Linked DNA regions of Elephas maximus indicus. The protein of the gene in region 3 interacts with the protein of the main gene of each other region in a pairwise test. Links are inferred from orthologs where the notes say so. Each region holds a gene or a part of one and is shown on either strand. Other genes may lie near its edges.

What was found.
Region 1: the proteins of BNIP2 (region 3) and KLC1 interact in binary tests that used the Homo sapiens proteins (3 or more experiments, as listed by UniProt). The two-hybrid records come from large-scale screens. The link is inferred for Elephas maximus indicus from reciprocal best matches to the Homo sapiens genes BNIP2 and KLC1.
Region 2: the proteins of BNIP2 (region 3) and FRK interact in binary tests that used the Homo sapiens proteins (3 or more experiments, as listed by UniProt). The two-hybrid records come from large-scale screens. The link is inferred for Elephas maximus indicus from reciprocal best matches to the Homo sapiens genes BNIP2 and FRK.

The regions. Positions count from the first base shown.
Region 1 is NC_064828.1:117,880,681-117,884,427, reverse strand, and holds the start of KLC1 (kinesin light chain 1), read right to left. Parts: upstream 2,475-3,747; 5' UTR 2,384-2,474; intron 1,643-2,383; exon of another isoform or gene 1,363-1,642; intron 1-1,362. UniProt on the Homo sapiens protein: Kinesin is a microtubule-associated force-producing protein that may play a role in organelle transport. The light chain may function in coupling of cargo to the heavy chain or in the modulation of its ATPase activity.
Region 2 is NC_064819.1:182,618,665-182,622,411, forward strand, and holds the start of FRK (tyrosine-protein kinase FRK), read right to left. Parts: upstream 2,423-3,747; 5' UTR 1,848-2,422; coding exon 1,477-1,847; intron 1-1,476. UniProt on the Homo sapiens protein: Non-receptor tyrosine-protein kinase that negatively regulates cell proliferation.
Region 3 is NC_064831.1:49,780,950-49,784,696, forward strand, and holds the start of BNIP2 (BCL2/adenovirus E1B 19 kDa protein-interacting protein 2), read right to left. Parts: upstream 2,731-3,747; 5' UTR 2,668-2,730; coding exon 2,449-2,667; intron 1-2,448.

The DNA.
Region 1 (3,747 bases), on a different chromosome or scaffold from region 3:
TTATTTTTTCTGCAACACTGTGAAACATGCTTAGGAATCTATGAAACACGGGACCCGGTACCCTCCCCAGGGCCATTCATTCCCTCCCTCCCGCTGGCTGGAGAGAATCACTGTGCGAGCCCCATGCATTTCTTCACACCTGCGGAGAAAAGTACACAGCAGGGCCCAGGGAGGGTCCCCATGCCTGGCGCTCCATCACCCAGCGCCAACTGCAACATGATGTTGCATTCTTCGGTGACGTGGAGAAACAGCTCAGACCGCCTACCCTCCCATAATTCCACACCATCTGAAAATTGTAATATTTAGTACCATGGTATTCTTACAAACACTTATGAAACAGAACAATGGGTCAAATTTCCACTCTAACTGTGGCTTGTTACCAATCCCCGAAAGAGGTAAATTCTATAATTATTAGCTTTTAGGAGGTCGTTCCAATCTCCTAAGAGGCTTTTCACTGGATCATTACAATGTATTCCAAGCTACAGATTCTGACCAAGGGCTTAGTCATGCTGTACCAAAAAAAAAAAGACCTTGGAATTTAACTGTGCAAGCCATCAAAGCTCTAACTGATCTACATTGCACTTTAAATGGTATACACATCTTAAATTTTTGCTGTTTTCCCGCTCTATAAAAACTCATTTTTCCAAGTCCTCCTTATGACATGCTTACTACGTAAATTTTGAGCATATTCTTTCAATGAGAAAAAACAGACAGCAACAAATTTCAACAAAAACATCCATATATATACATCCGGGAACGACCTACAGGACCTACAAATCTTTAGCTAAAAAGCCATGCAATCCACCACGCGTCAATTTTACTTTTTTAATCTTTATTTTCATTTAAAGAATAACGTGCACAAATTTTGCAACCGAGAACGTACTCCGGACGGAGGCCGCGGCCAGCTGGGTCGCAGCAGCGCCAGCGTGCGCTAAGGCCGCGGACGGGAACCTCGCCCACCTGCCCGTGAGAAGACGGGGGCGCCGGCCAGACAGGGGGTCTGCAGCCGGGGCGGCTCCCATCGCCCGCGAGGGGCACCGGCGCGTCGGCCCAGGGCGGCGCCGCGGAGAGGGCGGCGGCCGGAAGGAAGAGGGAGGACCGGACAAAGCGAGCCCCGCCGCCGCGTCCCCGGGAACCGCCGCCCCGTCCCCGGGAACCGCCGCCCCTGCCCGCGGGAGAACGGCGCCGGGACGCGGGCGGCCGGGATGCAGGCGGACACCGGGATGGAGACCGGGATGAGGACGCAGCGCCCGCGGCAGTCACGGGGGCGGGAGAGGGGACCGGCGCGGGGCCGCGGCGGGGCCGAGACGCGCTCGGAATCGGGCCGGGACCGCCCGGCCGTCGCCGCGCCGCCGCACTCACCGTCCTGCTCCTGCGGGGGCCGCGCTCGCCACGCGCGGGCAGGACGCGGCGGGGCTGCGCGCGGAGGGGCGACGCTCTGAGGAGACGCTGCCTCGGCCGCTCCAGGCACAGCGCCGCAGTCACGAGCGAGGGACGCCGACGCCGCTGCCGCCGCCCCGCAGCATCCCCACTGGCTCGCGCCCCGTGTCTCCCGGCGCCGAGCGCAGCCCTCAGCTCCGCTCCGCGCTGCCGGATCCGCTTCCGCCGCCGAAAATGGCGTCTCCTCCCTCCCGGCGCGGCCGGCCCCGCCCCACAATGCCGCGCGCCGCCGCGCCCAGGATGACGTCACCCGCCCCCGCGCGCCGGGGGCGGGGCCAGCGCTCGGCGGGGGACTCGGGCCGCGGCGCCCACGCGGCTCCCGGGGGCTGCGCTGCCCACGCTCGGCGGCCGAGATCCGGGGGCGTCGCCGGGGTGGGCGCCGGGCTCTGGGGCAGGGAGAGGTGCGGCCCGGCTGGGCTGCTGGGACGCGGCCGTGGGGTGACCCGGCGCTTCGGCCGCCGCCCCTCCCAGCCGGTACCCGCCCGGAATGTGGTCGGAGGAGGTGCGCGCCTCGTCCACCCACGTCCCGGCCGCGGCCCCGGCCCACCCCGGGCGTGTCGGGCGCCAGACCCACGCTCCTGTGCCTGGTGTGAGGCTGACGCGCCCCCTACGTCCGCCCAGGGCCTGCAGGGAGGGCTCCCGTCTGCCCCCCCAAAGGTCACGATGCTGCCGACCTGCCCAGCCGGTGGCGAGCTCGAGGTCTCCCGGCCAGGGGGCCTGTCTCCGTTCTCCAGGAAAACTTAGAGTCGTGGGTCAAGACTCACCGCCACGCCCTCCCCATCTCATGCCCTCTCCCCCAGCCCCGGGAGCCTCAGGAATGCAGCTCAAGGGGACTTTCCAGGCGCGCCCCTCGGCCGCAGGCTCTCACACAAACTGCACTTGAGGCTGGGGGAAGGGACGGGATGCTGGACCAGCCGTGCCTGGCCAGAGACGAGATGCCCACCTCGGCTGTCGCACCCTGGCAGCCTCCCGGCCGTCCTGCAGACCACACCGCTTGCTGCAGCGCCTCGACCTCCAGCCCGCCTGAAGGGCAGTACTTCCAGGTCAGAGAGCGCCTGGGTCCTGTCCTGCCGCATCGCCAGTGCCGCAGGCTGACTCAGCAGCCACCCAGGCGGCCGCCGCAGATGCAGGGGGCCCAGCTCAGCCCTCTGCCTGCTGCCAGCTTGGGAGATCCCTCCTTCTGGGGACCTGCAAATGTCCCAAGGGCCAGGTGGTTCCCCTGCCAGCCCCTGCCCTTGTGAACCGCTGTCTTTTTCAGATGGTATCACCCAGCATCGACAGGCAGCCTTGTTTTGACCTGCAATTGTGCAGTCACCAGGCAAGTAAGCGCTCCCAGATTGTCACAAGCAGATCCAGCTACTTCGATCTGATTTATGAGTGCAAAGGGGGCGCTCCTAGGGTGACGCAGCAATTACAGGGCCCAAGGCAGAGGCCATGAAGCAGAGTGAAACGCACATACGCTGTTAGTGATTCTGGCCAAACCCCAGCCTAGCTATCACCCACCTTCCAGTGCTGCTCCTCAACCACGGTTAGGCTGGGCACAGCAGCTGTTTGGAAGGGTACGCACAGGTGTCTCCTGACTCACTGCCAAGTGCTGTGGAGGAGGGAGGACCAGGCCAGGTATGGGAAGTGGCACCTCCAGTCACCCATCGCCCAGGCAAGAAACCCGGAGCCCTGATGCCCTCTCCCCTGTACCCCACTTCCCACGGGTAGCCAAGATTCTACCTCCTTAAGATCTCCTTAGGTCACTGGTGGTCAGTGGTAGAATTCTTTTCTCCCATGCGGGAGACCCAGGTTCAGTTCCCAGCCAGTGCACCTCACGAACAGCCACCGCTTGTCTGTCGGTGGAGGGTTGCATGTTGCTGTGAAGCTGAACAGGTTTTTACGGAGCATCCAGACTAAGATGGACTAGGAAGAAAGACCTGGTGATCTGCTTGAAAAAACCAACCAGTGAAAACCCTATGGATCACAGCAACCCATCGCCACGGGGATGGCACAGGACCAGGTGGCATTTTGTTCCACAGGACATGAGATCACCATGAGTCAGGGGCTCAACTCGAGGACAGCCAACAACAACAACATATTTTTAGTGCATCCCCACTGCCCCCACCTGTGCAGGTTTATTACCTCATTCTTTATCCCTTCTACAAGTATTTGCCGAGCTCCTGAGATTCCCGCAAATAAGGGCCAAGGATGTGTTGGTGAACAGATATATAAGACCCCTGCTCTCGAGGAGTTTACTTCCTACTGAAGAGAAGCAGATCAAAGCATGTAAGCAAAGAGATATTGGATGGAGCTGGCTATGCA
Region 2 (3,747 bases), on a different chromosome or scaffold from region 3:
CACTAATTTTTAAATATGAATATTATAGTATTATAACATATGTTACCCTGAAAATAAAACATGCATAATGCCATACCCTCCATGGAAATCATGTAGTAGTGAATACACACAAATGCACGTAAGCAAACATTTAATAAATAAGTAAAGATATGTCTTATAGGTTATTGCTGAAAAAAAATGTTCTCATTTAAGAACTGATCGATTCACTTCATCAAAATTTTAAATTACAATCTCTGTCTAGGCATAAATTTTAAAACCATCTTTACATCCGTAGGTTCCTGGCATTGTTCAGAATCTCAAAAATTCCCTAGCTACCTTTTTTATTTGGATTTGAGAGTTTGGAAAACTGCAACAATGTCCATGATTCCTCCTTAACATCTTACTTTTTCAGCCAATAAGAGGTGCTCCAGCTTGCATTAAAAAAAAAAAAAAATGATTGCAGGAGAAGATGAGTGAAACTTCAATGGTTCTTCAGCTAAAATCCATTCTATAATGAGTCCATTTCCTGTGAGTCACTCTCTTATTTGGGTTTCACCGGACAAGGCAGTACAACAGTCTCCACTTTCCTCTCAGCCCATCAAACCCTAAGCACCCATTGTCAGAAGCATGCTTCATCCACTTTATACTCAACACGACTAGTGTCAGTCCCTCTATCCTTACCCCACACACACCATGCCTACTACTGTGCCTGGCACTTGCATGGATGAATGAATGAGTAGGATGAATAAACACACAAAATTTTCCCCTTTTGTTCCACTATAATTCATAGAATTCATTCAAATACAGAGTCTTTATCTTCTCTTCTGAGGAAATGATCATTGTTTTTACTATTTTTTTTGTTAAAACTTAAGTAAATGTCTGGCCAGTTTCCAATGCTAGTAAAAACTGAAAGATATTTTAAGTTGGGTAGCGTAACTCAAGGTCTGGAATTCAAAGGAAAAATGCCTACACGTGATTTCACTGGGGAAAATGTAAGTAAAAACTGTTCTGCTCTAAATGTTATCTTTTGTGTTAGTTAGCCCCGTGTGTGCTGTCAGAATGAAAAAGGATTAGGATTAGAGTTAGGGGAGTGCTTCAAAGGTTAAAAAAAATAAATAGGAAGAGCTGGACTTTCGATCTGAAACTGTGGTTTAGGGAAGTCCTATGATTTACTATCGTTAAAGTGAAGTGTGAGTGGTTTTATAGCCAAAGGAAAGGTAAAGTATTAAGTGCACCATTTGTTTATATTGATGAAAATGCACCCAGGGCCTGTGGGTATACATTCTGTAATACAAGTTCTTTCAACAACAACTATCAGCCAAGTTCACTCTCACTGGGTGGGGGAGGTGTATTTCAATTAGTAGGTTCTTGCCAGGACTTCCTCATACTTTCTGGGCAGCTCTCTGGAAATTCGGGGGTTGTGGATAGGTAGGGAGGAAAACTCATTACCCGGTCTTCTGAGAGTGGGAAAATAAAGTTTGGGTTTGTACTACTCACGGCTCTGCCTCTATGCTTCTGTCCTCAGCGACATAGTTAGAAGGAATATAGCCCTGGAGTTGCTGGCCAGAGCCGTCTCCCCTTTTCTCCAAGTGTCTGGCAAACCACCAACCCTCGTGGGAACTGTCCAGGATTTGGAGCTTGTCCCCTGCGTGGAAGCTCAGGTCCTCTGCTGTCCGAGCCTGGTAATCAAACAGAGCCACAAAGTAGTGGCCATGGCTTCTCTGAGGCTCGTTCTTCTGTGGCCGGGGAGCATCAGGGGAGCAACGGGCTCCTGGATTCTCAATCACCACCGGCTTGACTACCTCCTGGAATAAGCAGGGCAGACAGGGCTGCAAGTATGCCCAGAGCCTCAGACAGACGTTGCCCATGGTGCTCTACCTGGTGGGGAGGAAGAGAGAGAGGCTTCTCCCTCTCCTCTTTGTCTCTGCAGATCCACTTTCTTGCCCTCCACCAGGCGACTTGGAAATCAGCACCAACTCACCATGCTTTGGAGAGTGTGCAAAAACCCTGTTTCAAAACAATCTGGCAGGTCTGGCTGCAGTGAACCTTGCTTTCTTCCTGAGGTGGTAGCTGCTGCCCCAGAGCCAAAGCGAGGAGGAGCAAGGCAGCTGCTCCGTGGGAAGGTAGGTGTCTTTTCTTCTTGTCTGCCTAAGAATGCCACAACAAAAACAAAATAAAATTAAGAAGGCTTTATCTTGACAAATGTCTGAGAACAGGAAAGAGTCATCTTGCCTTTGTCCCAAGGAAAAGTGAAGAAGGGAAAGACAGTGAGTCCAGGTAAAATCTCCACGCCTTGCCTTTGCCAGGGGCTGTCTCCCTGCTTCAAGCCTGTTCCTGTAGTTTGACCAGTCTTGACCCCCACTGCTCTTTCCTTTTTGCTAATGAATAACCAACCAGCCCAGGCTATTGCTTTTAACATCCTGAGCTATGTACAGACGGCAATAATTTCGCCTTACTTCCTGGTTTGTTTTTGGCTGTGATCTAAATGGGATTCCCGACCTCTCTGTCCCTCCCTTCACCCACATCCAAGATAGAACAACGCCCTCACCAGGGAGCCAAACTTAAAGCAATTGCCAAAATCACCCTGGAGAAACAGGCTCACTCGAGGTAGCTGTATTCCCCAGTCAAAAATGCAAGGTAGTGGTTTATTTATTTTTCCCCTACAAAGATTGTTTTGCCACTGCTAGGGGAAACAAGACAGCACATTAAAGTGATTAGGCAGTTGTCACTGGACAAAGGGAAGTTGGGGTGGGATCATTGAGTCCCTGCCCTTTTTTCTTCTTTTTTCATCACTGCAAATGTTTTTAATAGCCTTAAAGTATATTCGCAGTCTGGAAAAGTAAGAGAGAAGCTGACTAAAACTCTGAGAACCTGAACCACAGCTTTTTCCCACAGAGACATTTAATTCGATGACCACTGGAAAGAAAGAACAGAAGACCAGCTGTGTGTGTGCTGCTGTGAAAGCTCTTTCTGTTAAACTTTGACCTCCAGGTCTGTACCAAAAAAAAAAAAAAAAAGCATGTCACTGTCGAGTTGATTCCAACTCATAGCAACCTTATAGCGCAGAGCAGAACTCCCCCACAGGGTGCCAAGGAGCGGTGGTGAACTCAAACTGCCAGCCTTTTGATTAGCAACCCATCTCTTAACCACTGTACTACCAGGGCTCCAGGTCTGTACCAGTCCTTACTATCTTTGTTGGCCAGAGCTCAGCAACTAATGAAAGAGAGAGCAGGACAGCTAATCCTACCCAGGCGGTTGATTTTCCTTCACTATCCCTCCCTAGCTCAGGGCAGCTGTCTCACAATTGCGTGCCTGGATGACAACAGCACCTGGGCAATACGTTTAGAGAGATCAAGGCACTCGGTTCCCACTACTAGAGAGCACTGCAAAAAATGCTTATGACTTGTTTTCCATAAGACATTTATTAAAAAATTTATTTCTTAAAAACAATCTCTTGAAATGTTGGCGAAGCCTTGAACCTTGCTAACCTAGCCCCAGAACAAGCTCAAAAATCCTGTTTTTTGTCAAACTACAAGGCATTCTAGTTGCCAGAATAATCCAAACTCAAAAGAAAGGGGAGGAGGGGAAGATGAAGAAAAGAAATAAAACAGAGAACTATGGCTTAGCCCTACCTGCTATTATCTGTTGCTGCTGTTAAGTCAATTTTGACTCATGGCAACTCATGTGTTACAGAGTAGAACTGTTCCATAGTGTTTTCTTGGCTGTAACCTTACAGAAGCAGATAAAATTCCATGGTGCTTCTAGCTG
Region 3 (3,747 bases):
TTGTAGAGGGTCACCAAAAAAGAAGACGACCCTCAATGAGATGGACTGACACAGTGGCTGCAAAAATAGCCTCAAACATAGCAACAACTGTGAGCATGGCACAGGACCGGGCAGTGTTTCCTTCCCTTTGTACATAGGGTTGCTATGAGTCGAAATTGACTTGAGGGCACCTAACAATAACAACGACGATGCTGAAATCAATTACAGCTGGCAGAAGGAAATGCCTAAGCAAGCCTTTCACTTCCCCATTCAAACTCTAAATAGTTATGTTCAGTTTTGTCCTCTGAGCTTGGCAACACTGGTAGCCATATAGGAAAATACTTTAGACTAGCCTATGTGTTTATGAAGATCACCAAAACACTCCCCCCAAAATTCTGTTTGTTTGTAATTGCACACAGATTTTTAAGGATGAAATAAATGAGATGCTTTATCAGAAATGTTAAAACAAAATTCCAAGAAAAACATGAATGGTGCTAAATTTTCTCAAAATTGTGAGAATAAAGCTAAATATAATCATATAGCACCTAGGAGAGAAGACTTATAGGGTTGCTATGAGTCGGAAGTGACTTGATGGCAACAGGTTTTTTTTTTTTTTTTCTTTTTTAAACGAAAGAAGACAGAACACAAACTCAAAAGAAGAGAGCAAAAAGGTACATTAAATTATTAGTATGCAGAACATCTTGGAGATGCCCCAGGACCCTAAAAGATTAAAGTCTAACAGCTGATCTCTGCCACTTTGTTGTAGAGTTAGAAATATTGGCTGTAATATAAAACCATAAGCTTGGAGTATTACTACCAACACAGGATATCAGCACTGTGCTTCACGGGGTCTAAGCTTCACAAGCCATCACTGCCAGTCAAAGCTAACCTACTGCTCTGGCTATACTACCTGCGTCAGATGTTTCGCCCTCACTGCTCCTCTCACCTGCGTTACTCCACAAAGACCCAACTGAACTTCCTTCCCAAAAAGTGTTTTTTACATTTACTAATCACTTTAACACCAATCATCTCATATGTCCTAACCAACAATTCTATGAGGTATAAAACACTGGTGTTGTCACTGCCATTTTATTTGATACTGTATAGGAGACAACTGAAACTACACCAAGGTTTAACACCTAGGTTCCTAGTCAGAACTGTTTCTAATCCAGGACAGTGTCTCCAGTTCAGTGGCAACTTTATACAGAATACGCCTGTAAGGCCAGATTTGGTTACACTCAGCTTCAACGGTCCTCATAATGTCTAATGACTGTAACAGCACTGACTCGTGATGATCTAGTTCAAAGTCCACGTTTGCAGAAGTGGACCTGCCATACTTCCTGTCTAAACCCCATAGAATCTGACTGCGACAGAGGTGACCAGCGACGACCAGATATGGAGCTTAGAGAAAATGTACAATGACAAGTACACGGTAGAAGAAAATGCACAAGAAGATCACGAAGAAATTAGTCTGCAGGTATCTTAACTGGATAACTTCAGCTACATTTGTGAGGAAACTTATTATCCATTTACAAATTGCAGAAATTTTAATCAAACATTAGGAAAATATATTTAAGAAATAGTAAAGAAATGAGGTATTAGGAGACAAAGGCCTTAGTCAAAGAAAGGTGAGTATGAAAAACACACACCCAAATCCTAACTGCAGACCTTTTTGGTTAGCAGCCCGACCACTTAACCACTACTCCACCCCGGTTTCCATCACATACTTAGCACTGATTTACTGAACCAATTATCCGGGAGGCATTGTGACTACCTAGATGAACAGGAAAAAGCTGTGTCTGCAAAGAGTTTCCGGAACTGCTTCAAAGAAAAGGGATAAAGACTCATATTATTTCTGATTTAACACGAGGCGATCCCGTACATCTCCAGTGGCAACAGACGCACCCAGGGAACCCAAATCATTTTGCCAGGTGTTTACAGGCCAAAGACAGAGTGTCTGAATCCATGCAGGAACTCGACTTTTCACGTACACACCCTATATTTGGGCTGGCTGGCTCAGGAAGCTTTAATAAAGCCCTAATGACAAATGCCGCTTCCGCGTCTATTCCCCGAGGCTGCGAGGCACACCAGAAGCCCAAGTCTCTTTGTTTTGCACCAGGAGCAGCGCTGGTCACAAACACGGAACCGCGGGGCCCAGTCGTCGCACCCCCGTCAGCTTGCGGAGGGTGGTCCGGGGACGGCGAAGCTCCGTCCCGAGCACCGCGACCACCGCGAACGGAAAGGCGTGGGGGGCAAGGCTGGCAAATGCAGACCGGAGCCGAGCCAAGGGCGGGGATCTCCGCCGGGCGGGGACGGAGGAAGCGCCTCCGGGGCGGCTTCCACGGCGCCCCACGACGGCTAGCCCCCGGGCTCCCTCTCCGCGGCTGCCTTGGCCAGCGCCCCGCAGACCCTCCGCCGCAGCTCGTCCCTAGTCAGGCCGCCGCGCCGACCCTCCCAGGCCGCACTCACCCCGGAGGACGCCTGGGCCCCCTCGTCCTCTTCGCCTCTCCAGGCCGGCGACGGAGGACGGACGGCCAGGTCGCAGAAGGCGGCGCCGAGCGGAGCCCGCTCCCCTCGGTGCGCGGCGGAGACGCGGTCCCAGCACCCCGGCCGCAGGGACGGCAGCGGCGGCGACGGCGGCAGCGCTGACCCGGACGCAGACACCGGCGACACCGGAAGTGACCGCATCCAGCCCTTCTCCAGGCGCAGCAGCCGGCGAGAGGGAGGCGGAGGCGGGATGTCTCCCGAAGCGCACGGGGTCTTCTCGACGGGCGCGGGCTGACAAGCGCGCATGCGCACTGTGGCCGTCCTCGTTCCCGCTGGGCGGGCCTTGGCGTGGACACCTTATTGGGGCGCCTGTAAGGCTGGTGGCGCTTCCTCGCAGCTTCCTCTCTTCTGGGGTGCGGCAGTTAGGTCCTAGAGCCATTGTTTTCATTTTATCTTTATTGATAATTATAATAACTATTGTAAAATAGATATCTCTTTAGTGACCCAATTATTTTCTGCTTTAAATTTTTTATTCATACCGTATGTTTTAATTAATGGAAGTATGCTGATTCTTGTGTCTGAATTTTTGGTAGGTAGTATAGTTTTTTTTCTTTCTTGCTCCGTGGTACGTATCACATACCACTAATTATGCCCCCGAGTGCTGCAGGGGGTCTGTTGGTACATACGCGTAACAAAAATTTTCAAAATCTTTATTTTTGCTACAAAAATTTCAAACAGCTCATTCAGTACCCTGTAAAAACAGTAAGTTGTGGCACAAGTCTGTTTCTTCAGTTTCAAACAGTCAAAGGCCCCTGCCTTTTGGCAACACACCTACCTGTAGGTGCTACAGCAGCTCCCCATTAAACTTCAGAGGCTGAAAAAGTTCCCTGTTGTCGCTATGAGTCGGAATCGACTCCACGGCACTGGGTTTTTTTTTTTATATGTACCCCCGGGGCACGAAAGTGATAAAAAGAGGAAGAAAAATAATCTAAGCCCTCATTTTGGGCAGGTAGACGTCAAAAGAATCCCTAGTTTGGTGAATTTTGTACAGTAGCACTTCTCAAACTGTTGGACATAACCTTTCTTTTTTAAATTTTCAATTCGTTGTGGACCGCACTTTTGTAAAATAAGCAAAATATTAGCAAAATAAAACAAAAAAGGCATACAAAGTATAAATTAAAAAGTTTTATTCTTAAAGTCAAGAGCTGTAAAATTGCCATAAAGGCTCCTAAACACTCAGATTTCTTCACTTGTTTCACGCAGTTCTCTGAAGCAAAACTG